Styela clava: one gene and its partners. The protein of the gene in region 2 binds, or shares a complex with, the protein of the main gene of each other region. Links are inferred from orthologs where the notes say so. Each region holds a gene or a part of one and is shown on either strand. Other genes may lie near its edges.

Evidence for each region.
Region 1: phosphatidylinositol N-acetylglucosaminyltransferase subunit Q-like (region 2) and phosphatidylinositol N-acetylglucosaminyltransferase subunit P-like share a complex: the UniProt entries of both Homo sapiens proteins name them as parts of the glycosylphosphatidylinositol-N-acetylglucosaminyltransferase (GPI-GnT) complex. The link is inferred for Styela clava from reciprocal best matches to the Homo sapiens genes PIGQ and PIGP.
Region 3: phosphatidylinositol N-acetylglucosaminyltransferase subunit Q-like (region 2) and phosphatidylinositol N-acetylglucosaminyltransferase subunit A-like share a complex: the UniProt entries of both Homo sapiens proteins name them as parts of the glycosylphosphatidylinositol-N-acetylglucosaminyltransferase (GPI-GnT) complex. The link is inferred for Styela clava from reciprocal best matches to the Homo sapiens genes PIGQ and PIGA.
Region 4: phosphatidylinositol N-acetylglucosaminyltransferase subunit Q-like (region 2) and phosphatidylinositol N-acetylglucosaminyltransferase subunit C-like share a complex: the UniProt entries of both Homo sapiens proteins name them as parts of the glycosylphosphatidylinositol-N-acetylglucosaminyltransferase (GPI-GnT) complex. The link is inferred for Styela clava from reciprocal best matches to the Homo sapiens genes PIGQ and PIGC.

Annotation. Positions count from the first base shown.
Region 1 is NC_135253.1:15,186,939-15,194,438, forward strand, and holds phosphatidylinositol N-acetylglucosaminyltransferase subunit P-like, read right to left. Parts: upstream 3,024-7,500; coding exon 2,942-3,023; intron 2,168-2,941; coding exon 2,095-2,167; intron 1,457-2,094; coding exon 1,344-1,456; intron 882-1,343; coding exon 754-881; intron 376-753; coding exon 358-375; downstream 1-357. Other genes in the region: cytosolic endo-beta-N-acetylglucosaminidase-like, read right to left, coding at 19-284. UniProt on the Homo sapiens protein: Part of the glycosylphosphatidylinositol-N-acetylglucosaminyltransferase (GPI-GnT) complex that catalyzes the transfer of N-acetylglucosamine from UDP-N-acetylglucosamine to phosphatidylinositol and participates in the first step of GPI biosynthesis.
Region 2 is NC_135255.1:3,220,395-3,227,378, reverse strand, and holds the start of phosphatidylinositol N-acetylglucosaminyltransferase subunit Q-like, read right to left. Parts: upstream 3,005-6,984; 5' UTR 3,000-3,004; coding exon 1,995-2,999; intron 1,781-1,994; coding exon 1,705-1,780; intron 1,495-1,704; coding exon 1,289-1,494; intron 865-1,288; coding exon 652-864; intron 146-651; coding exon 1-145. Other genes in the region: deubiquitinase OTUD6B-like, read right to left, coding at 3,914-4,813; splicing factor YJU2-like, read right to left, coding at 5,605-6,117, 6,511-6,984. UniProt on the Homo sapiens protein: Part of the glycosylphosphatidylinositol-N-acetylglucosaminyltransferase (GPI-GnT) complex that catalyzes the transfer of N-acetylglucosamine from UDP-N-acetylglucosamine to phosphatidylinositol and participates in the first step of GPI biosynthesis.
Region 3 is NC_135252.1:4,508,947-4,515,150, forward strand, and holds phosphatidylinositol N-acetylglucosaminyltransferase subunit A-like, read left to right. Parts: upstream 1-4,008; 5' UTR 4,009-4,182; coding exon of another isoform or gene 4,183-4,201; coding exon 4,202-5,518; 3' UTR 5,519-5,676; downstream 5,677-6,204. Other genes in the region: mitochondrial proton/calcium exchanger protein-like, read right to left, coding at 1,337-1,484, 2,013-3,016. UniProt on the Homo sapiens protein: Catalytic subunit of the glycosylphosphatidylinositol-N-acetylglucosaminyltransferase (GPI-GnT) complex that catalyzes the transfer of N-acetylglucosamine from UDP-N-acetylglucosamine to phosphatidylinositol and participates in the first step of GPI biosynthesis.
Region 4 is NC_135250.1:6,447,795-6,454,141, reverse strand, and holds phosphatidylinositol N-acetylglucosaminyltransferase subunit C-like, read right to left. Parts: upstream 1,999-6,347; 5' UTR 1,899-1,998; coding exon 1,005-1,898; 3' UTR 528-1,004; downstream 1-527. Other genes in the region: eukaryotic translation initiation factor 2 subunit 1-like, read right to left, coding at 269-506. UniProt on the Homo sapiens protein: Part of the glycosylphosphatidylinositol-N-acetylglucosaminyltransferase (GPI-GnT) complex that catalyzes the transfer of N-acetylglucosamine from UDP-N-acetylglucosamine to phosphatidylinositol and participates in the first step of GPI biosynthesis.

The DNA of each region.
Region 1 (7,500 bases), on a different chromosome or scaffold from region 2:
TGATATATATAGGCCTACCTGTCATCCAAATATCCACCAGCCATGTCATGACATACAAGGGTTTTTGTTGATCCAGTTGGAATATTTTTCCCAAGATAAGGAACTGTAGCTACAGAGAATATCTGCCCACTATCTTCTGCATCGTCAGGTTTCCATGAAAGTAAATCTTCCAAATCATGCAAAGGAACTGAAACTGGTAAACCATCCTCCACACTTCTACCAGTAAATTGAGAAGGCTTTTCAAAATCAACATTCAGTAACTTCACTTCTTTAGATTCACTCATAATTTTCAATTATTTTTCTAGGAAAAACAAAATGAAAAAATTGTTTTACACTTGCGTGGCTGATATTATTTCTTTAACTAGCTGGTGACAGCTGAATACAGTAGAAGAAGAAACCTAGTAAATGCATGGATTTACTTTTGTTGACCAAGTGTACACAGCAATTCCAGAAGCTTGTAATAACATTATAAGAAGAAGTATTTGGCAAAAATCATAAAGTTTTTGTGGTGTATTCTTTAACAATAAAATACATATTTCTTCTGATCTGCCAGACAAGATCAGTGATGAAATTTGGAAATTGAACTACTTAAAACAACCCTTTTCAATGCATTCCATTTTTGCCTATTTCGACACACTTTATTCCTTTGATATGATGCAGCATTCAAGTACAGAAACCTTGTTTAAGAAGTATAAAATAAGACATGATTTCTAAACTAAAAATGCTGAGTAAAACAAAACAATCCCATCTTACTTTATCCTTGCCTAGATTCAAATGGCGACAAACAGTTGCCAGATCCAGTTCAACAATTGGTGGAACAGATCCTGAACTCAAGTCAAAGTTTTGTATTGTTGGTTCTGGGATATTTGATTTAGAGTGTACTAGAATAAATAAAAATGAATATACATAAATATAAAAATATTACAATATATCAAACAATTTATTAAAATTGATGAAAAAATTAAAATGGATTACTAAAACAAGTTTCCTATATTCGAATACTTTCTAAACGTTAAACCAAATCATGATTTAAATCATGCTGTATTGCTTGTTGCACTAGGCAATCATGATATGACAAACTAATCAATATAAGATAGTGTTTATCGAATGAAACATTCAAGCTATGACTAATTTGAAAAAAAAAACAGGTCGATCAGTCTTCTAATTTTACCTATAAAATGATAACTAATAATAAATAAGAGTATTAAAATACAATCAAACATTAAAACAATATATATCGGGATAATGTTAAGCTTCAATTTCTATAAACCACTAAAACCAGATTATTTTTCTAAAGCTATTCTTGGAAATATAAGTCAGAAAACAGGTAAAATAATATTTACTTTCAATTTCTTCTTCCAATGCTTGAGTATGAAGTATGTTGATGATGAAATATACAACAGGAATAGACACTGCACCGATGCAACCAAGGATTGGTAATACTATTGCCCAAGCTCTGAAAAAATCGGGTTGTAATAAATCAATAAGAAGAATGAATAAATGCATTGGGCAATATTGCATATTATTATGTTCATCTATCTCAAAATGACTCTATGCATCATCCGAGTACCATATAGAGTACTTTTTTTTATATTTTGATGGTCCTGATCAAAAATTCTTATACAAAAAGCATTTTTGTACTCGCATATATTTTTAAAATTTGTGTATAACTATGAGAGAAAAATAACATAATACGAATTATACAAGTATCATATCTTCCCAGGCCAAAGAAATCCTAAAAACAGCAGTATAAACTTATACATCTATTTTCAGCGCCTGGCAATTAGATGAACCAGAGTCTAACTATACTTAGCTTATACTACATAATGACAACTCAAAAAGAGGGATGGATACATGTTCCCAATTAACATTTGAACAACCTGCTCCGTACAAAAGGTTTGATTTTAGGACATACACATTCAAACTTTCTCCTCAGCTACAACTACAAAAAAACAGGTTGATCACAACATGAAATATAGGAATGAGTCACAAGCGAGATGTTACTAGGTTCAAAGTATTTTCATAAAGACTTGTTTTGACTTCCTACATTTTAAAAAGTTTAATGAGCAAATATATTTTAATTTTCATCCTTACTTGGTAGGAAGATAAGTTAGGCCAATACTGTGAAGGACTTCATCAGGAACATATGCCCATATCACAAACAGTGCTGAAAAATATACATCATTGTCATTATTATTTCTTTGTGGTATATTCACTTGATAACATGGACAAAAAACAACAACCAAGTAAACGATGGTCATTTGCTCATTAGAGATTCAAAAGCTAGCAGTTCATATCTTTGAAAAACCACACAGATATATGAAATGTCAAGGGGCCTTTGCTAAATTATTTCTTTAAATTAGCATATACAGATATATGAGACATTGTTAGAAAAAAGTCTTAAGCCAATTACTGTATTGGCGTAAGAGAGGAGAGCAAAAGGCAAATCCTATGGAAATGAAAGACATTTTCAAATTCATACTGAACAGACATCTGGAGAGAATTGCTTTTAATTGTCATAGTATTTCCCAAATACTTGTAAAGATGAGCGTTACACTTTAAGAAATGTGGAAAGCGTCCATTACATAAATCACATATATAAAATCTCATACTAGAAACAATACTACATTAAAACCATACACATGTGAATATTGTGGGAAGTCAGATTATTACAGTCAGATTATTACATTTGCCCAACCAAGAAAACAAACTGTGGCTATTAAGAATACACTATAAAATCCTCAGACATGAAAATTGTATTGTCATTTAGCAACCTTCAATATCGTAATACCGGTACATGATACAAAGAAGCACTAGGTTTTTTAAATTAGCAATGCTCATTCACTGATTCAAATATTTTTGTTTACATCTCTTTTGATCACCCTTTCCAGTTCAGCAGTTATGCAATCTCAGGACTGAAAAATAACTCTGACTCACTCACCGAATAAAATGTAGCTTGCTAGATAAAGGACAAATCCATACGCCGCTCTCTCCGGAGATGGACCTGGGCTTGGTTGAGGCATGAACTGATAAATAAAAGAGGCAAAAGCACCTAAAAACCGACGACGGCAGCAATATATGTAATTAATAATAAATACTACACAAAGTTGGACAACACTAAAAGGCTGAAAGAAGAAACGGATGAGGTGGAGGAAAAACGGAAGTTGAGGTGTTCCCAAACACTAAAAGGCTGAACACTAAAAGGAGGAAGTGGATGAAATTTCTTCCGACGGGTGGTGAGGTGTCTGAAGTCACTAAAAAGCAAAGCTGAACACTAAAAGGAAGAAGTGGATGAAATTTCTTCCGACGGATAATGAGGTGGTTGAAGTCACTAAAATGATGAACACTAAAAGGAAGAAGTGGATGAAATTTCTTCCGACGAATAATGAAGCGGTTGAAGTCACTAAAATGATGAACACTGAAAGGAAGAAATGGTTGAAATTTCTTCCGACGAATAATGAGGTGGTTGAAGTCACTAAAAAGCTGAACACTAAAAGGAAGAAGTGGATGAAATTTTTTCCGACGAATGATGAGATGGTTGAAGTCACTAAAAACATGAACACTAAAAGGAAGAAGTGGATGAAATTTCTTTCGACGAATAATGAGGTGGTTGAAGTCACTAAAAACATGAACACTGAAAGGAAGAATATAAGTATAAGTTTATTTCGACTCCATAATCAGCATAACAATACATTTGACAGATAAAAACAAATAAATAAAAACTGATTATGAAATCAGGGGAGCAAACAAAACCTTAGATAAGGTTTATAACGTACAAAATATAAGATGGAAGGTTTTGCCAAGAGGAAGTGGTACGTGTTTAATCACCTAAAATTATTAAGTTATTTCACACACGCTCACATGCACCCACCAGCCACACACACACACAACCAGTGAGAAGTTATTTAAGTAAGAATAAAACGCGATAAATTTAGGGTATACTATACAGTAAACAAAAAATAAAAAATAAATAAATACTAGAAAAGAAAAAAAAAATTATCTGCCACACCATATTGATATTTTTGTAATGGTTGCCAGAAGAAGTGGATGAAATTTCTTTCGACGAATAATGAGGTGGCGGAGGTCACTGAAAAGCTGAACACTAACAGGAAGAAGTGGATGAAATTTCTTCCGACGGATAATGAGGTGGTTGAAGTCACTAAAATGATGAAAACTAAAAGGAAGAAGTGGATGAAATTTCTCCCGACGAATAATGAAGCGGTTGAAGTCACTAAAAAGATGAATACTGAAAGGAAGAGGTGGTTGAAATTTCCTCCGACGAATAATGAGGTGGTTGAAGTTACTAAAAAGCTGAACACTAAAAGGAAGAAATGGTTGAAATTTCTTCCGACGAATAATGAGGTGGTTGAAGTCACTAAAAAGCTGAACACTAAAAGGAAGAAGTGGATGACATTTCTTCCGACCAACGACTCTTCCGACGAATAATGAGGTGGTTGAAGTCACTAACAAGATGAACACTAAAAAGAAGAAGTGGATGAAATTTCTTCCGAAGAATAATGAGATGGTTGAAGTCACTAAAAACATGAACACTAAAAGGAAGAAGTGGATGAAATTTCTTTCGACGAATAATGAGGTGGCGAAGGTCACTGAAAAGCTGAACACTAACAGGAAGAAGTGGATGGAATTTCTTTCGACAGGTGGTGAGGTGGCTGAGGTCACTAAAAAGCTAAACACTAAACGGAAGAAGTAGGCTACGGTAGATGATATTTTGTCCTATCGATTTTGAGGCGGTTGAAGTCACTAAAATACCGAACATTAGTAGAGTTAAATAGCCAAAACATATCCCGACGGAAGTGAGATTGGATGAAGACCCTGAAAGCGGACTGATGAGTAGGCATGCCACTTTTAGATTTATGAATTGAATCGATTCAAATCGCAATTCATTTCGAATCCGATTTACGCGATTCGAAAGAAAGAGAGCCGTTTAGCGAAGAAGAACAAACACTCCAAATAACACCAATTGCCAGACGGGAATGTAAATGAATTTTTCGTTATTTACTTCTATTGATCTGCCTTCGTTCATTTTCAAGTTCAGCGCAACACACCCTGATCATCACTCGAGATGCTGACGTGCTGTGTGGGTAATTAATTTCCTTCAATCTCTCAGTTGAGTTTTCCACTGAATGACCTAAGTTTCTATCACACGCAAATTTAAATGGATCGTATACCCGAAATTTCGTTGCGATTTTGTTAATAATTTGCAACAGCACACCTTCTCTGCGACTAAGTTATGGTACGCCTTGACATGAATTGATAAACGATCAGATACCGACTTCTAGAAAACATTTAATTTTGATTGAAATTTAATTTAAACTCCGTTGAGAGTGAAATATTTCGCGTATATATTTGAAGAGAACTATTACTGAACAAGTTCATTCGCCGGGCATGTAATTGACGATCATGTTTTTTTATCCTGACATTTATATTTATGCTATTTTATTCCCATTTGTTGTACCTCCATTTGAGTAGCGGTAAACGAAATGAGGGAACACGTGGTAGAACAGTTTTCGGTTGGAGGTTTACGGTTGGAGGTTTATTTTAAATGGTTTAATTACTTTTTTGTGTTCGAGCAAATTCCTGAAAGCATTTCTTATTTATAGTAATCCCGATGCAATTAAACTGTCTTTGTCTTATTACACTATGCTGCTAGCATGAATATATGCTCGGTATCTCCTTGTTTAGCAAGCTCTATCGCAATAATGAGCCCATATATCACAGAGATGACAGAGATCTGTGTGTACAAAGTTTTCCTTTATGTATAACCCAGAGTCACAAATTATTGTACTAATATTTTAGAGATGAAAAATCTGTAATGAGTCCAGCCTTAATTTAATATAACAATAAGTGAAATACCACAGTCACATATTCTGGGGTGGGACTGCGGGAACCAATGCTGTTACTGTTGCAGCACTGTTTAAGATGGTACAATAGAATTGTTTCCTGCGCTTATTTTCACAATTGAGTTGCATCAAATTGCTTCAGTCCTAAGGGGATGGTTGGTCAATACCGAATAGTTCACTATTTCGAATACATTCGAAAATAAAATAAAGTAATTGAGGCTTATCTATAGTAGCCTATATAAAGGAATTTGCATACAATAAACAATGGAATAACTGTCATCAACAGCACGTTGTCTACCATGCATTTCATGTTTGCAGATTACTGCTATATATTTTCATATACCATGAGTTACGTTATCAGAATTAAATTAATACGGCAAGCATTTAAAATAGTGCTATCGGTCATGGATTTGAACATTTTGCGCAACACAAAATCATCCTAGTAAAAGTTTGAATACCAACTATTATCCAAATTATTTGCCAAAAAGCGGGATAAAGTATAAATTATATTTCTGATTGGCGACAATTTTTTCGTGAGTACGTAAACACGAATGAAAAATTAATTATATTCGGGCACTTCAATGTCCGCATATATATCTTTTATTATTTTATAAATACGAAAATATGAATCAAGAATTAATTATAATCGGGCAGTTTACCACACATTTTTAAGTCCATGGATCGCCGTTGTATTTTGTATATACGAAAATAGGAATAAAAAAATAAATAACAATCGCGCAGTTGACCACACATCTATGTACATAGATTGCCGTGGTATTGTGCCCGAATATAATTAATTTTTGATTCCGTATTTCATTCCTTAAACTTAATATCTATTTTTAAAATTTTGCAAGCAGTTCACGCACGAAGACTTGAAATAATGATGTATTAGTCAAATTGAAGTCCTGTTAGACCACTGGTTCTTAACCAATGTGCCATGGCCAACTGGTAAGCCTCAGAGCCATTTTGAGGTGGGCCACAAACATATTATGAATTACAAGGTTTGTTGACTGGAAAAATTGATTTGATAACAAAATCAGCTTCACGCGTCTTGAAAAACAAGATATCTATTTGCAAAATATGCCTCGCCGTAACCCACCCATTGTGGCGCAACAAATTCATTATACGGCAGTAACAGCTAGAAATGAGTATATATATATAGCAATTTGCTTGCACATTACATCAAAATTAAAAACAATATAACGAGAATGTCATGGCCTTCAATATTCGCCAGGCTCGAACTGAGAATACCATATAAAAAATTAACATAAAACGAATCCACGAGGACATTGTCTCATAAATATTAAACTAATATATTAAATTTTCTTCACTATCCGTCGGAGGAAATTTCATCCACTTCTTCCTTTTAGTGTTCAGCTTTTTAGTGACTTCAGCCACCTCGGAAGAAATTTCTTCCACTTCTTCGTTTTAGTGTTCAGCCTTTTAGTGTTTTTCAATTTTTCACCTTTGGGAACACTTCAACTTCCGTTTTTCCGCCACTTCGTCCGTTTCTTTCTTCAGCCTTTTAGTGTTGTCCCACAAAGTTTGCTGTAAAATCCCACTCAGCAAAATATTAGTGTGCCTATCGTAAAAATTAATTAGGCCGTGACAAGTCACGCTATGCGACAGGGGATCAAAT
Region 2 (6,984 bases):
CCGCTTTATACTTCAGTTTATCTCCATTGCGCAGGAGCGTGGAACATTTCATAGATTTGATAAATTTCTGAGGTTGGAAGATTCTAACAAACATCGAATACCATGGAAAATCTGATATTATGAAAACTACTCCACTGATAGCAACCTGAAAATAAAGATAAGCGTTTATAGATTCATTTGTCCTTGTCAGTGGACAGGGGCCCAAGGATTTCTTGTCTGATCTTTTAGCAAGCATGCAATTATCATTTACTACAAGCATTATTAGGTATTTGAGCAGGCATTATAGTACTTTTGAAGTTAACGTCTACAAATGCACATCCTGTGGGTTTGAATCCCATTGCAGTTGAACAATCTCAAATGCTATATTGAAAATAGCAGCTTCTTACTGGTCACGAGATAAAGAAAAAAGGCTCTCTAGAAGTATGTGTACCAATATGGAGGTGACTAGTTTTGTTCGCCTACTTTTCATCAAATTGTGTAACGGGACGGAAGCCTAAACACAAAACAGTCCCCGAATTCGTAATAGAACTAAAATAAGGAAAGTCGGAATAAAATCATGGCCTAACCAACCCTAACCTGGTACACATACTACGGGACTAACGGGGAAAAATGCTATGGGAATCAAATTTAGATACAAACAAAATAACAAACCTGAATAGCTAGCACAGCAACACGCAACAACATAAATATTCCGTAGTACAGAGCTGTTGTGGGTAATAGAAAGAGTAATACTGTAAATAAAAGAGTTCCGGCAAACAGTTGGTCAGCTCGTTGTCCAGATTCTTCTAATGAATCAACCCTTTTCCTTAGTGGATTCCATTTTTTCCCTCTAAAAAGCCTCCAAAGTGACATCAGACCGGCCACCTGAAAATTAGCAAGTAGCAATTTAAAGCGGTACTCCCGTAGTATGTGTACCCAGTTAGGGTTAGGCCATAATTTTATGCCGATTTTCCTTATTTTAGTTCCATTAAAAGTTCGGGGACTGTCTGTGCTAGCCAAGTGAAAATCCCCCTGCCCATAATAATCAGTTGTACACAACTTGATGTAAAGTAGGCGAACAAAATTAGTTAGCTCTATATTGGTACACATACCGGTACCTACTTCTGAAGCGCCATAAAAGCCTCATACTCGATACCGTTACTGAAAGCGAAATATTGAAAAAGGTTCTCCCATACAAAGCTCCCATCAGATATTACTTTAAAATGACGGAAAAGTTTGAGCAATCCTTAACGAATAATCAAACCCAACAGTTTCTAAAGTTTTTTTTATGAAAGTAAATATTACTCACTTGAAGACCATACAGACGTCCAGCATAGACATAAAAACAATAAACATGAAAGCTCAAAGTCGAAACTGCATCAGCGATGATAGAAAGGAGAAATGACAATCCCAAACAAGATGTCATCAAACAATATGTGATCAGATAAGGAATGAACTCCATCATCATTTTCGAATATTCCAGCCACAATCGAACATGATAGAGGAAAAAATGACCTGAAAAAAAAAAAACCTAATTGTTCCAGATTTTTTTTAAAATTAGAATAAAAAACATCTTCATACATAAACAATAAAAATTATTTTACTAACGCACCAGAAAGTGACCAGTATTGACATTTTGTTAATATTATGAAGTATAAGGTTATATTTATTGTTATTTTAGCAAATGATCATATGTGCTACCAAAAATGCCACACCGCCTCTTACCCAAGAATTGGTTTAGTGGATGGTTCAATTTCAAGCCGGCTGGAAACCCCATTAACCATTCAATCAATTCTTCAACCTAAAATTAAACATACAAAACATTATATTTCAATTTAATTCATTTTCCAACAGAGATATAAAATATATAAAGTTGTCATACAAATCTGATGCTATTGCCAGTATAAAATAATTTCACTATAATTAATTCAAATGTTTTATGTTTTTGAACGTCGGGACAGAAGTTCAAAAAGTCTACAATGATTTATACGTTATTGGTTTTAAATCTTTCTCACCTGATTCGCTATCGACTCCACATAAGGTAAAAAGGCTTGTTTTGTAGTTCTTGTGGAAGGCAGAAAATCAAAATAATACAGACTCCCTAACAAACCCACGCCAAAAATCATGTCCACGAATATTGTACTAAGTATGTCTTTATCTTCATACTTATTGTGAGAATCAAATACTTTTTTTCGACTTCCAAACAAGTGCATAATGCTCTCTTCAAATTGCGAAAACCTCCTTTCTGCATGAGAAAGTAAGCTAGACAACTCAGTTATACTCTGCCATATACGTTGGATACAGGTATTTGACTTGTAAATACCTGAATATATTTTCTTGAAGTAGTACAAAGGGAGATGTATAGAGCCAAGTAGCACAGTGATAAATATTGTTAGCAGGTAAATTATAATGCTGAGTTCCCTTTGCATGCAGCAGTGTGTTACATGAACGCCATCATTTGAATTTATTCCATATTCATATGAAAGAATCCCATTTTTGCAGGCAGAAATCAAGACAAACAAATTTTCAATAGAACCATTGGAATTGTGTACATTCAAAAACGAATCTGAGCAAAGTTCACCATCCCAGATGTCTTTCTGGTTGTAAATTACTGCCATAACATCTGCATTAGTTTTTACATATTGATTTGTTAATAATATCGATGATGCACTGATATTTTGTATTTCAAGATCCTCAGCTGTAAAAACGGTTTCATCATCACTGTTTTTTGACATCTTTATGGAAATCCATGTCTTTTGTCCAAAGAGTTTTGGTAGTATATGTTCAAATTCATGTTTCTCCTTGGATTCATTAGAAATCCAAGTTCCCAAGGGACGTAGTTTGACAGTATCATGCAGTTTTTCATATTTAGAAAGGTAAGCATTCAAACTCTTTGGTGTAACGGGAAAGTGTACAACGGCAACAACATATAATACAGTGTCGTCATCATTTGAAGCACCAATCAATATTCCTGATTGTGAACGGATGCAACATTCCGGTAGAAATATTTCCTTCAACATTTGAACTCAGATTCTTGCATCTAGATAAAGTTTCACGCACTACTGTTCATGCCCATTCAGTAAAAACAACAAAAAAAACATGATTATGCCATTACGACACTGATTTAGTGAATCAAAAGCTTTATTAATGTTTAAAAATTCTTTATTCAATTCAAATGTTGTGGATGAATTGAAAAAAATTTCAAAATCTCCATTAACTTATATTAAATCTCACAATTGGATTTTAGAATCATACTATCTGGATGTATACAATCTTATCAGTATCTATTTAAGCAACATGATTGCTGATGAAAGCAGCAATATATAACTTCAAAATAAAAGTACTCTGCAATTATAGACTAGATCCACATCAGTATCAGTAAACTCAATTACTGACTGAAGTTTAAATTGAATCAGAAAGCAATAATGCTTGTTACGCACAATCTCATTTAAAATTTCACTACTCATGATAAGGATCTATAATGAAATATATAAGGGCTCTTCAAATTGAGGGTCCCGACCCCCGATGGGTTACGGAAGGGCTCAATGGAAGTAGCGGTATTTTTCATTATTATCAAGTACTGACAACTTACATTAAAACGAAATATCGATCAAATTTGGAACCAGTATTGAGACCCAAGCAAGATTCGACTTTTTGTGCGAGAATATGCAAGCACATCGATCTCATTAAAGGCATTATAAATTTTATTACCGGTACTTTATTTTAATATTTTCGGTATCATTAAATTTTACATTTTTTTTATTATAGTTACTGAGGGTCGTGAAGAAATTTTGCCATGCCAATTGGATCGTGATAAAAAAGTTTGAAGAAAACTGCATTATAAAACATATTCCAATTCGTCCGTTGAATAGACATGTGTGAGACTTTGTATCTGGCTATAAACCGTCATGCACAAAAAATTAACAACAATATGCTATGATAGTCCATTTGAATCAGGTTTTGATGGTTGAACTGAATTATAGTGCTCGCCCAGCCCCAGCTCATGTCTATGATATGTTAGTATTAGTGGATTTCCTTTATATTCCTCACCAATTTTTACAGTGGGCATGTCTGCTTGTATCACATGAATTGAAGTCTGTAAGATATGGGACAAAGCTCGCAGTTCCAATTGACCACCCCAAGCTGTAGTCTCTGCAACATCTTTGCAATACTGTTTGAATTCCTCAGGAGAATAACAATCGCCTGTATCAGAACTAGTTAGAAAAGGGGAAAAATCGTCTTCATGAGAAAGCATAAATGTTGATGTCAATGTTCTTAATTCTTTCGGTGAATGTAACATCATCAAATTCATCTTCAGCTGATCTACAACTGCATAATATAGACAATTACCATCAGGTATCATGGGCTTCACTTTTAGACTCATTTTTGTTAATATGGTCTTGATTTTTTCCTCTTCTGCATATCTTTGTGTGTTAACATAGTCCTTTTCAGCTTGTGCAGCAATTTCAGCTTGTTCTTTCACTTTCAAAGCTTTTTTTTCTCTCTTCTTTTGCGCTTTACTAACTCTTTGTTGAGAAGGTTCTGATCTGCCAGGTTCATCATTTTCATTAGTAGCCTTTGAAGTATCGGTCATATCCTCACTATTCATTAGCTCCAATTTTTCTGTCAATTCAGCAATTTCTTTATCATGTTTCTCATAAAGTTCACTTTCAAGAATTGCAATTTGTGCTTTCATCTCTTTGTTTTTCTTCTTATCTCCTTTCGGAACTCCCTTTTTCAAGGATTGAATTTTCCCTTGCAATTCTTTTTTCTCCAATTTATGCCTGGCAGACAATGCCTCCTGTGGATCATCGATATCCTCGTTATCTGACATCTTCTCTTTAAATAGAGAACCCAGAAATTACAATCCTGAAAAATAACAATATTGACTATTATTATAGGCAATAAATTATTTCTTACAGACTGCAAAATGAGAATTTTTTAAATATTGATCTCGATAGCTACAAATAAAAGGACCTGGATTGAATATCACACTCAGAAGAAAGGTGCACATCCTAATAATAAGTGATAGACTATTACCCTTGAATTGTTATCTATGTTCAACCAAATATGTCAAATGGACTGACTTGTAGTATTTGTGGCAACGCACAAAACACTATTTCAAAAATCTGTATTTACAAAGCAGCACATATTTATAACAAGCAAAATGAAAATGCCGATTGTCAAAAACCAACAAATGTGGTCTTTTGCATTAGCGGACAAAAATGAACCTTCACACATTTAGAAAAATAGGATGTTTGATAGTAAGCAAAAAGGGTCATAGTCTGGTTTAAATCATGACTTAATGCTAAAAAAGTCAATATAAATTTCATCTCAGTCCTACTTCCAGTCCTAAGCAACCTTGACTCTTGTCGAGAAGAATATAAAAAACAAATGTGAGTGAAAAAACTCGTTAGAAGTCCCTGATATAAATTACAATTAACATTGCATTAACCTACGCTAAAGCGTATCATATGGTTTCATAGTAAAAAAGTAATGGATTTAACTTGAATCACGACCCAATGTTTGTATAAACTTATTGTCAGCCTGGATGCATAATTCTTATTTACAAATTTGTGCAGGAATATGCAGGTATGATTGAATTCATAGTTGAAAAAATACATTCTAATCATCATCGCTGGATGTGTTACTATCATCACTTCCATAGGCTCCGAGCAAACTAAGCCCAGCCGGTTTGGCTAGTACAGTATCTTTTAGAGTTTTCTCAGTTTTAATCACTGACATTGTTTTGGTTAATTCTGATTTATCCTCAGATTGATGATTAAAATTATCTATTTTTGGGAATTTTTCGATCGACTTTTTTACTACAATACCCAAAAGCTGGGCCTTTTTCTTTATAGTATCCTTATTAGAAGGAACAGAAGAAATACTTTTTGTGCTTTTATTAGTAATTTTTGTTTCTTCTGATGACAATAATAAATCGGAAGGGGCATTAATTTCTTCTTTCACAATATTCTTAACATCAGATTTGTCATCTTCATCATCACTATCATTCAGTCGTCTTATTTTGTTACTCCCAAAAATAGTCTTCATTTCTTCCTCATCTTCTTCTGCTTCTCTCTTTTTTTTTTCTTCCACTGTTTCTTGATAGCTCTGTAGCATTCCTTCGTAATTGACCTAGATACACCAAGAAATTCATATAAATTAGAAATATTCACTCTCCTCATTGCACAGGGATGGACAAATCTAAATAGTAATGTAAAGTTTTACTTTGTGACTTCAAAATCTGTGATACTAAAATTGCTCAAAATAATAATTTTTCGAATGGGACATTCTAAATTAATCCAGAAATCAATTTTAAATTATTATAAATATTTAATTTGTTTTTTAACATTCTAGCCCTCGACAAACATGAAATTTTATAAACACCTCATTGTATGCTATTTATTTAAAAACTGGGAGTCAAATAAAATTTACAAGATACAAATATAATATACAATATGGAATAACCACAATCTTATGAAGTAACAAATTCTTCAATGTCATCGAACATCATATTGAAAATCCTACCTTAGCATGTCGTTGATTGAGATCTCTTAATTCTTCAAGATTTTCCATTCTCTCCATTTCTCTTTTTGAGTCCCTTGTTCTCATTTCAAGCAGTTTCATTGGATTTCCTTCATCTTCTTCCCTTTGTTTCTCGATTTCTTTCTCTTGTTTTTGGAGAAGTTTTTCTGCCTCAAAATTTCGAGTGGCACCATGTTCAATGACATAATCTGTATTCTCAGGATCAGTTTTGAATGTTATTTCAGCAACACATTTTGTGCATTTGATATAAAATCGAAAAATTCTCAAACCAAGATAATCATCATCTTGGACAGTTTCTTTTCTTGAATTAAATTTTGTTCCTTTGTAAATGTAATTTCCACAAGTCTTACACCGCATATGAAAAGGTGCCATAACACGTATTACATATTGTCTATCTTTAGCTAACTTGAGCTTGGGTATCAATGAAGGATCATAATCCGGGGGATAGTATTTGTT
Region 3 (6,204 bases), on a different chromosome or scaffold from region 2:
TGACGTTAACGATACCGGTACAAATAATTCGAATTTAGACTAATTAGTATTGGTTTTACATGCGATATGTCTGCCATCAATGGGAATCAGTGGGAAACGAACGCATTCGCCTTCAGTAAGTAGGCTAGCGCTGCGCTACAAAGAAACAACAGTAACGAGAACATGTTTGTGTATTATGCTGGAAAAGCGGGACGGAATGCTTTTCGCTTCGTTTACCAACTTTAAATCGCTTGGTGATGTCACAAAATATGTTCCAGAATTATTTAGTTTTGTCGCAATGTCTATCTGGCACTTCTCTCACATAACATTATAACATAGCATGTTCTTAAACGTAATGGCTAATGCTATCCCACATTTAGCTATATATATATAGTTTGATATCTGGTAACAATAATTAGCTTATTCTTGGAATATCGAATTCTCTGGGAGCCATATGTCGTCACCAAAAGAGCCATATATGGCTCGCGAGCCATGGGTTCCCGACAACTGATATAGATAGTAAAAGTAATATTATTTAAAACAAGAGAGCGCAAAAATACAAGAACCGAAAGTCAAATGACTACATGGGCTGAATTTTATTTTAAAGAATTGTAACATGTCATGTGACAGTCTGCTTGTGAATTGCATAAACATGCTGAATCGAGGGTAATAAGATGAGCTTCGTAAGATTTAAAAGAGAAAATAAAAGCCATTTAAGAACTTCTTTAAGTACCGAAAATTTAAAATCCTTTAGTTCAATTATCAGCAAAGTGATATTTTTAAAAGTACATAAAAATATCTCAAGGTCAAGAAGCAACTCAAACCTCAAGTGTTAATTAGGGCTGGGCACTACGAATCGAATATTCAAATCGGTTCAGAGCAAAATTTCGAATCGCCGCCATTTTGCTTTTTCCCGCCAATGGTTAAGGTGAATTACCCAATTTTTTTATTATTGAAGCCCTATTTTTTCAATACAATTCTGACATGTGACTATTATGTGTAGTGAGTTATTAATAAATAAGTGTCTTTCTTCATGGTGTGTGAAGTTGTGAACGTTCCGCAATCTGTCTTAGTGATTTGTTATGTTTTCGGTAATACATTTGTTGACGACCAATTACAATAAAAAAGTAACATATAATCACATATCTCCCTTTGACTCCCAAGTATTCGAGATTCGATTCAAAAAAAATATTCGACTGATTCTGAAATCATCAGGTATTCCAAAATGCCCAGCCCTAGTGTTATTTTCAACAACAAATTGTAGCTTAACAATGTTATCAATAGTATAATTTACCGCTTGTATATGACAGTTATAAATATGATGAATTATAAAATATTGATCAGGAAACTAACTAACTTGACATGCTGTTTGTAATTCTTGTGCTGTCATGTTATCAATGCCTTCTCTTTGAATAAGAGTGTCATCAGCATGCAACCTATTCAACTTCATTTGCAATAAAAATCGAAGTAGATTGTTACTTCCCACAGCAGGTACTTGGATGAGCCTGAAAATTGAATGAATAATAAATAGATGATTCCATTATCAAATTCAGTCTTCCTTGAAATTAATTGAAAATATCCAAATGTTTGTTTATTGAAGCTCAAATTTTGTAGCCAAATGGATCAATATATCAAAATATATTTTTCTTGTATTCTGAAATTCAATTTTAGTGAGTCGAATACAAAAATGCATTATTTACTTAGTTTGAACGAAATAATATTTTTGAAGCCGAGGAAATCGCTTATAAAACAAAATAATAATTTGCAACTTTTACAAAGATCAAACAACTTGCATTTCAATTGTATCACTATTCCAATTTAGCGAAATCTTTCCATTTATATTTTTTTCCTATAGAATTTAAACCGACATCTTTTTTAAACAATTTTTGGTTCTGATTTTAGCAATAATATTTTGCAAAACTACTTCAATTAAAAGACTGGTCTCAACAACCTTTCAGTCAATTTCTCAAAAATGCCAATAATGAGTAAAATTCAGCAATATTTATATACTATCACACACAAAATCGTATTACCTGCACAATGCAACAAGTTGAGGTCTGGTCATGCTGTCCAACGTCAATTCATCTTCAAACAATTTAGCATGTTTCAAAATTTCTTCATTTGTTGGCTCTTCATCAGTAGTTCGAATTTTTTGAAAAAAAGTGGCAAAATCTTCTGTGGCCTGATTTTCTTTTGACATCTTTTTGCTTCGCATAGCAATATCTTCTACCGTATCTTGCATAAACTTGGCCATTTGCAATTTAACAGACAGTTCTTTTCTTAATCGAGCTTCACGAGCTGTTTTATCCTCAAAAGTAGAAGGAAGAAGTCTTGGGAAGAGGCTGACCACCACTGGCAATGCAAATTCAGCAAACGGGATAATTATGAAAACACTAAAAGGAGCAAGCCGAAATATATCTGATACCGCTCTTTTGAATTGATTTCGTTCTCGCCGAACTACTGGTTTTCCGTTCAATATTTTCCACAGTGTTTTCCATGCAATTCTAATGTCCAATCCAAGAAGTCGAAAACCATGATAATAATGTTTCAACTCCGCTACAAATCTATCCCATAACGGTTTCTTTGGGGGAGTGGCTACTGAGCTAGATGTGGTTTCTGTCGCTGTAGGTTTTTTATCAGAAGAAAGATTTTTGTCCGCTTCAGTCTTTTTCAATTTAGCCTTCAATGTATCTTCTACTTTTGATTTATCAAAATTAACACTTGCAGCATGGATATTTCTTGAGATTGTGTGGTGTAGACCAATATTAGAATGGTGCCTCAAAAGGATGGGATAGGAAGAAGATATAGAGTCAACTTTGCATCTGTGGTTAGATGATGAAAATATATAAGAAGTGCAATCAGGTCTTCTCCTGCTGTAACTGAATGGATGTATCGAAAACCATCCCGATGCAGAATGTGTTGAATATTGGTGACATTGTTTAGGAATTCCATACAAGAACTGAACTTTTCTTTTATTGTTTAAAGTCAGTGAATAAATTCTTTGTAATTCTTTAGTGCCATGACGTAAATGAGACATGTTTTATCCAGTTGTTTCAGATGTTATAATAACGCACAGTGTCACAATATATTAGCATGATTCCTATAAGCGCTTGTTCTTAACTAATTTTAACTGAGTTGATAAATTAAAATTTTTATGCTAAAATATATTTCACTTATTTATTCAAATTAATGTAAAATAATACAGATAACAGTGCATTGCACAGCCAGACAGATTTTGACAAATTTTCCAAGGTGATTTTGGCCCAAACAATAAAATTTTGGTGGCCGATAAAAAAGGAAATTGTTTACATACCTGTCAAATAAAATAATTGTTCAGTATATGACAACATATATTTGTAGATAACAATCAAGAAGGTTAATTTCACATGAAGTAAAACTAATCATAATAGCCTATAAAAAACTTGGGTCAGTAACAGTAGGTCAAATAACAATAAGGTCCATTCCCAGTGCAGCAGTGCAGTGATGATTCAAAATCCCTTGCAATTTATAATAAGCCTTTGAAGTAGTTTTAAAATATTCATTAACATATAACTCTAACGTTATCAATTATTTTATGATGATGCCTACTTCTGTATTCGCGTTGTTGATAGAATAATAGAACCCCAAATCAACATTATCCTGTTGGCCAACGGAAAGCTTGGTTCTTCTTAATAATTTAATATTTATTATAGAGTGGTCAAATTTACTGATTTAATCAACAATTTAGATTATCGGCCATAGCCCACATCCATAATAGACTATATAACACCAATCAAGTTGTGTTATTCTGGTATTAAGCCTATTATGTTAGTAATATTACTTAGTGCAATACCGGTATACCGTACCTGCTGTGACGACCTTGACCTATGATTAACAATGTTATGCATGGCGATGATTAAATATCACCGTGCTACTACTGCTGCCGTATTATACAGGCAACATTGGTTAAATGAAAAAGGGCGCCTCAGACGAATTCAGGTAGGTACAGCGATAATTTGTAATGTGAGAAGCTTTTCACGGCCGGACAGCAAACCTGATGCTAAAGGTCAAACGCGATGACACATGACATCGCGTGGTGGCGTGTCTTGTTATTAATGGCGTGATTCAAATGGCACTGCCACTTGCGTTTCTCATCTAGAATCGTTGACGTTGAATACAAACGTATGCGGTAGAACTGGGAGTTACGGTAGTTGTTGAAGTTTGATGAAGCTTGAATACAAACATGAAACACTCTATTGCAATGGTTTGTGATTTTTTCTATCCTAATGTGGGAGGAGTGGAAAGTCATATATATCAACTGTCGCAATGCCTTATTGCAAGAGGACATAAAGTAATTATTATCACTCATTCTTATGGCAATAGAAAGGGAATACGTTACTTCACAAATTATCTTAAAGTTTATTATCTTCCATTTGTGGTCATGTATAACCAATGTATTTTACCTACATATTTTGCAACTATTCCCTTGATTCGAAGTGTTTTGTTACACGAGAGAATAACCATTTTACATGGACACTCTGCTTTTTCTGCATTAGCTATCGAAGCTATTCACCATGCACAAACATTGAGAATTAGGACTGTGTTCACAGATCACTCCCTCTTCGGTTTTGCTGATGGATCCTCCATTATCACAAATAAACTTTTAGAAATAACACTGACATACACAAATCATGTAATATGCGTCTCTCACACAAGCAAAGAAAATACTGTGTTACGTGCCGATATTGAGCCAAAAAAAGTATATGTTATTCCAAATGCTGTTGATGCAACAAAATTTACTCCAGCAACTGAGAATCAAGTCAAAGACAGGATAAGGATTGTGGTCATAAGTCGACTCGTGTATAGAAAAGGAATGGACCTCCTTGCCTCATTAATACCAATATTATGTTCTCGGCACAAAGATATTGATTTTGTAATTGGTGGCGATGGTCCCAAGCGTCTTCTTCTTGAGGAAACGAGAGAAAAATTCCAGCTGCATGAAAGATTAAAGTTTTTAGGTGCTGTTCCTCATACAGATGTGAGAGATGTGCTGACAACAGGGCATATTTTTCTAAACACATCCTTAACTGAAGCATTTTGTATAGCAATAATAGAAGCTGCATGTTGTGGATTGCAGGTTGTGAGCACGAAAGTTGGAGGAGTACCAGAAGTACTTCCTCACGATATGATAATTTTGAGAGAACCATCAGTATCTCATCTTATAGATGGTTTAGAAGTCGCAATTTTAAAACATCGAGAAGGAACTGAAATGGATCCTTATGAAATGTATAATCGAACATCGGTTTTATATACATGGCCCAAAGTTGCTGAAAGAACAGAAAAGGTTTATGATTCAATGGCAGAACAACCCTTACTTCCTCATCATGAACGATTATTACTGTTTAAAAAATGTGGTCCTGTCGTAGGAAGATGTTTTGTTGTAGTAGGATATGTTTCACTACTCATTTGTTGGCTTTTGGAATGGATGTTTCCTATCAATATAAAAACGACCCGAAACGTCTCAGATAATTTAAATAAAAAGTCATCAATGATGAATTAGTTTATATATCTGTTGTGATTTTGTTTTCCAAATTTTAATGTTTTTATTTATTTTTCTAAATTAAAAATCTCTTATTTTGACATCACAGTATGCTTTTGTGAATAGTTAAAGTTGCTCTCGCTTGATTTAATGATTCATTATATTCACTTTATAAGCAGTTCCTAATTGACTTTAAAATGGCAAGTCTGTATAAACTTGAAAATGGCAGCTGGTCCGATTTAACATATAGAGCAATGTGCATCATTATTAGGGACTGGATGTTTTTTGTTTTGTCAGTTTAATCCATACTTATCTTCTTGTGGCAAACTTCTTTGAATTGACCGGAACAGAATTGAATATCAATGTCAACAATGAGGTTTGGTTTCTGTATCAGGAGGTTTTCATCCAAAGTATTAGTAAATTGGGCACTCCAGAAGTGTGTGTACCAATATGGAGATAACTGATTTTGTTCGCCTACTTTACATCAAGTTGTGTAAATGGACTTGGCTAACGCAGACAGTCCCGAACTCGTAATAGGACTAAAATGAGGAAAATCGGGATAAAATTATGGCCTAACCCTAACCTGGTACACACACTATGGCAGTACTGTAAATTGTTAGTCCCCTGAGAAGCAGCATCATTGATATATAATGGTTGAGCTGTATAATTTGTCAATTCATTCCCCTGCTTGATAATTTTATTGAAAA
Region 4 (6,347 bases), on a different chromosome or scaffold from region 2:
TATCAAAAGATAAAAAGGCAACAATAGCATTGCAATAATGCTAATCCAGCAATTTTTGTTAAATACTATGACAAATCGTGATCTTCAAAAATATAACTTTTCTATCTATAAGACACAAAAGTTGATAATCAAAATGTCAGTACTATAAGACGATAAACAACAAAAAGAACACATTTTCGCCTATTTCGTTTTGAATCGGATATTGAAATTTGCAAATACATAAATTTCATTGAATCTTATTTATTAACAATCGCACGAAACTCCCTACCTTTTTCTTTATCTACTCTTATAACAACGACACATTCATCACGACCGACACGAATCAACTTATTGATAGATCGAATACGACGTCTCGACAATTCACTAAGCAATATCATTCCTTCAATGTTATTGTATTCAAGCAATTTAACGTAAGCTCCCATCTCTGCGATGGATCGAACATTCACCATGACAACATCTTCAACCTCCGGAAACTTATCCTTATAATATCGACACGAGATCGGCATTTTGAGTTAATTTGCTAACAACTATATAAAAATATACAATTCAAATAAAAACAATTAAAAACATAAAACTTGAATAAAATTCTCTTATATAGATTAACCAATAGTCAAGCATATGATACACTTTTTCATATTTATCCCAGGGACTCAAATCATATGGCAAACTGTGGCCTTTTGTCTGTTCAACAGACTAGAGCTAAGTCAGTGGTTATGTGACGCAACCTGGAAAAAACAACAAATATGTCTACAGTAATTCTTTTGCATATAGACATACAAATGGAATCTATGAACCGAACAATATAAACATATCTTCACATTTGAAACAATTCTTAATTAAAGAGACGTGACACTTCTTTTCGAACAATCGATACATAAACAGTTTGTACAATCAAAAACTATACATCGATAAAATTTTCTGAATGAAACTTTTTCAACCAAATTCATTTCAATAAATATTTAAAAAACAAAAATTATAATATCACAGAATAAGAAGCTGACAAACTATTCTTTTTTGAATGATTTCTTTTCCGTAAATATCCGAGGACTATCCGGGTCAATTACTGCTTCATCCCAAGGTCCATAAATATTATTTTTATGAATTTGAAGAGACATCAACAATAGAGGACAGATGAAATTAACAAAAACAATTAGAAGTAGAAATAAGAGACTTATATACAAATGAATAAAAAGTAGTAACAAAAACGTTGCTATACTCAATAAAACAGTAAAGGGATCCATAAACCACGGAGTTTCACGCCTTAATGTTCTTTGTAACATGGGCCAAAATCCAAAAAGAAATAACGCTAAAATAACAATAGCGAATACATGCTCCGAAGAATCCAATCGAGACGCAAGACATACTGACGAAAACAATGACATATTTAACGATACAGCTCTAGAAATTGGCGCAGCATCAGACCCATAGTCATGAAACAGTAAATGTCCTAAAATCATTAGAACACTCATTGCATATATCGTATCAGTACTAATAGTGTGCGTCAACGTTTTTAATATCGGAGATAAAAAATCAGTTAAACACAATACAACAACTGCTGTTTTAGCATTACTAAATAACGCTTTCCATCTCTCACCCTGGCTCGTTGTTAAATATAAATACACGCAGAAGCCTATTACTGAAACAGGCATCAGCCATTTTAACATAGTATATGGAGTATATAGGCCTTCATCGAGTAACCACCAGCTAACGATTAAACAGCTGACTGTACAAAGTTGTTGAGTAATGACTTCAATTTGACGAACGAGATCCCAATATTCATATTTTCTGATGTAGATGTTCTTTCGCATTTCCGTGAGGAAAGACTCATCCACATAATTGTCTGGAACATTTTGAACTTCGTACAATACTTTTCTCCATTTTTTGCGATTAGTTGTCATTCTTGAACACGCTTATATCAACAGCCAAAATCAATATTACTCTATGAATAGGTTAAAACTGAAATTTATAATAACAATGGCTCAATACCGGTACTGTAATAATAAGCACATACAAGACAATCTATGAACAAATTTATCTGAGGAACCTGTTCTTTTATCTGTTTATAGCCCAGTGGCGGGCCATTACAAACAAAATATCGTATCGTACGGTCTGACGGTACCGGTACCAGTAGGTATGGATTAGTTAGCCGGTACGGTAGGTACCGGTATTTGTTCTACAGTTTCAGATACCGGTACCGTACATGGTGGACGATAAGATAAGTTTATTTCAACTCCATACTCAGCATAAACGGCGATAAAACGGTTGATTAAAACAAATAGAACTCGTTTAGTCATACAGCGGCACAGACTAACCACAAAGTTGAGCGAATTTGCTCTATGATGGTTCACCATGATGGGCGATGGCGCAAACACCAACACGAAACACCAAAAACTCTACAGTCCACACATGTTAGGGGTGAATGATGCTCGAGATCCGGATCCGGCGATCGCTTCTTATTTACACCGTAAGCGACACCCAAATCTTTTGACAAAAAAATCCGTCAACTTTTTTGGGTCTGGCGGTTACCGCAAAGAAACACAATTGTCATCGCATTACAAACCCAATCGTCATAATTATGCGCGAGGGGATTGCCAGACTTCTCACCCTCGCAAGTGGTTAAGGCTTCGCGCCATTCAAATACGCTCAAATCAATTACCTGATGAACTCTTCCTATTCCCGATTTGGGTTATGTTAACGCTGACTCGTCAAATTTCTTCTTCCTCTGGATTTCATCCTTTTTTTCTGTTTGGCACCCCATCACTGGAAAGGATAGGATTTACATATTTATCCTGGGGAAGAGGAGAGCCGATAAGACGGCTCAATCATATGGCGGACCACGGCCTCTCGTCCGGTTACCAATCCATGTCGAGTATGGAACTTGTTAGCTAGTTTATTTTTGGAAGCATAGACTTAAATGCTCTTTTGCAAATTTGTGTACCTACGACAAAAAAATGATAATTAGTAGTAAACAATTTATTTGACCATTTACTGAATATTTGCGCCTACAGATTATAGAATAAACTAAAAATGTCGTTTCGTGGTGCAGGGGAGTGCAATAAACCAGTCGTATCATCGAGCAGCAACACCTTTAAAAAAGTCTAATCTAAGTTGGGAAATAAAAATGGATTTTCATGCGACCTGACATTTCCACTCGTTGTACTATAAGAAAACAACTCCGAGCACGACATGCTGGTAACCATACTGCGGCGAGATGCTGCGTTCCCCTCTTGCTGTCGAAATGCCGTCTGAAATTTGAGTGTCCCCAAGAAGTTGTATGATGAGAACGTTTGAGCAAAGATCGAGAGATGTGCTCAAATAAATTGTTAATCGACATATCACATGTAAAAATTGGATTTTGAATTCGACAGCGATAATGAAGTGTTATTTGTGATCAGCTATTTACGGCAGTACGGTTACATTTTGAAACCTGTAGATCTCAATCAAATATTTTCCGTGTAGTTCGCGCAACTGTTGGTTGCTTGCAGTATTCCACTAACTACGCCTATGTATCTAGATCTTGCAAGTACTGTACGGCTATGTCTGTTTACCTATATTCAGGGTTGGACTAAACATTGATCAAAATAAGGTCACCACGAGAAAGGATGCACCACAGAAGTTTTCACGAACTGGCTATCTCAGTGTTTAATGTAATTCGAGTTGGTAAGACGATTCAGACCTCAATATTGTCTCGGTTTAATAACTTGATTATTTTCTCTTTTTCAAGTACCAGCTTACACCTCTCTATAAATGTTTGTAGGCAAGAGAATTATTTTCAAAAAATACCATGTAGATTAATCATAACTTAGCTTTAATTAGTACCGTGGTAGTGAATACTGAAACATATTCAGAAAACATGGAACACTAGTTTTCATTATTATCATTTTATATAAATAGGGCCCAAAGTATTAAGTGCCTGGGGCTCCTAAGCGGCATGATCCGGCCCTGCTTATATTAACCAGTTGTTTTGGTTTCACTCGCTTCAATAAGACCAGTCACCTCCTGCACGTGTTAACAGCAGCATCGAATATTTAGCGAAATGGTCCAAAGTCGCACTTTGTGTTCAATATCAGTACTCTGATAACAAAAAATTCCTGTTGAATCTAAATTAGATATTGGAACTTTGGACGTCGCTGCACAAAATTCGGGAACGGTCCCACGCGGCGCCCCTTCATCGGGAAAACCTTGCGTTTATTTTGTTATCGTAGTTTTGTTGTGATTATATCACTAGTAGACCGCGAGCCGAGGCCCTGAAAAACGCCTAGAAAGTGAGTTTCGTAGCGCACATCAGGTAACTACCTGAAAATGATTTTAAAATGTTCCCTAAAAATTTAGTAACAAATATTGCCTTGTTCCCACTTCCAAAAGTTGCACGTTTTACGGAAAAGACGCTTTTACTACAAGAAATATGCGCTACGATCTGTCCTATATTCTCTACATTTTCGGCACTGAACAATGACTTCTGCATGACGTAACAATTGAATTAAACCAGCTGTTAGCGAGCGGATGAATATTAGTTATTTCTGCTCGACCTTGCGCTGAGTTGGGCAGGCTTTCCATAGCCCTGTTTAGTTATTATTAGTTAAGTTATGCTAAGACGTTGTTGAAAAATGTATAAGTAAATTATTAAACACTTGTAGATCCTTACCACGGATATGGGCCGCGAGACGAAACCATGAAAACGCCCAGAAAATGAGTTTCGTAGCGCACATCTGGTAACTAAATAAATTCTTCAGTTTTGTGTGAAAACGAACATAATGAACGCATTACAGCTTGTTCCACAATCCTGGTGCGAAATTGAATATAAGAGGTTCCCGGAAATTCAATAACCATAAGTTTACAACGCATACATAAGAACTATACAATTCGAGAGCCCTACAGCACACTAACACAAATGTATTCCTGTAATGTTTTGCCTGACCAAAATCGGACTTCCTCAGTCAATCATAATTTATTAGGTAGATTACGAAAAATATGGCATACATGTAACCAACAACAAAAAATACTTTAATTGTGTGACAGGAGTCGGGAGTGACCTCGAAAGCAGCGACACCAACAACGCTGATTCACATTTGAGAATAAATTTTATGTAATAACCACAAGCAGTTTACAACAAGAACAGCATAAAAAGCTACATCCATTTTATAGAAGCTATCAAGTATCAAACGTATTTATTTTTAAGCAATGAAGTCACAAATTAACATCGTGAGCACGAAAACACAAATAAATCAGTTATTTCTCACTTAGAAATTTACCGCAAAAGTCAAGAAAATTAAATGAATGTACAATATGTACATAACATAGTGAACAGAAATATTACAATTTACAATTAATCTTTTTTTAGTTTATGTGGTTATGTATTTGAACAAAGGCAATAATATTTCTAGAAACAGGACTACGACACTAACAAATGTCCGAAAAAAAAAACAAATGTATGATACTTATTAAATCAACTGTAATATCTAATTCACTTTCTTCTGAATTGTTTTCGAAATCCACTATCTCAAAAATCGACTTTTCCTCTATAGGTGTACTGTGATTTCTGCAGTCAATACAAAAACAAAAATCTGTGCAATTTAAGTTGATTTTGGCACACTTTCATAAATTATTTTGACTATTTTTCTTTGCAGTTTGCCAACTCAAGAACTGATTTGAGGGCCACATGCTTCTTCAGTGAATCATTGTTGGGTGGAGAGTATAATCCTTATGTTTGACAGTGTTAAATAGACGTGCCCTGGTATCATTTACATTCTTCATATCCTCTTCAAATTCCTCAGCTTTATTTATTAATACCTCGTTAACCTCAAAAGATCTTCATAGTCGAGGGAAAAAAATGAATTGAAAATCTCAATGAAGTCTCCAACATGAATTTGATGGGCAATTCCAATTGCAGAAAAGTGCTAAAGTATTTCAATATGAATAGCCCATCTAAGCTGTTTGCAACTATTATGATTCTCATATACCTTTAAGCTTCAAGACTTCTTGTTTAATCCATTTTATAGCACTGATAGCAGCAGGGATCAGAGCCTGCGTTAGGTCGGATTGGTGGAACATTGCCGTTTTCTTTTGTAGTACAGTATCTAAAATAAGGAAGAAAATAATATTTGGAGCAGCATGATTTTAAAAATACCCCTAAATACTAACTAATACCTTGAATACATAATGCATTTTATCTGATGTACTAAATGAGCGTATATATGCTCATTGCATGTTCTACAGTCCAGCAGTGTTTGCATACCATTACTAGACTATATCTACACTAGATTTTGATATATCACAGTCTGAAATGTCCTTTGACAGTATGAGTATGGACTATAGACTACGGTATATTTTGAAACATCAACTGTTTG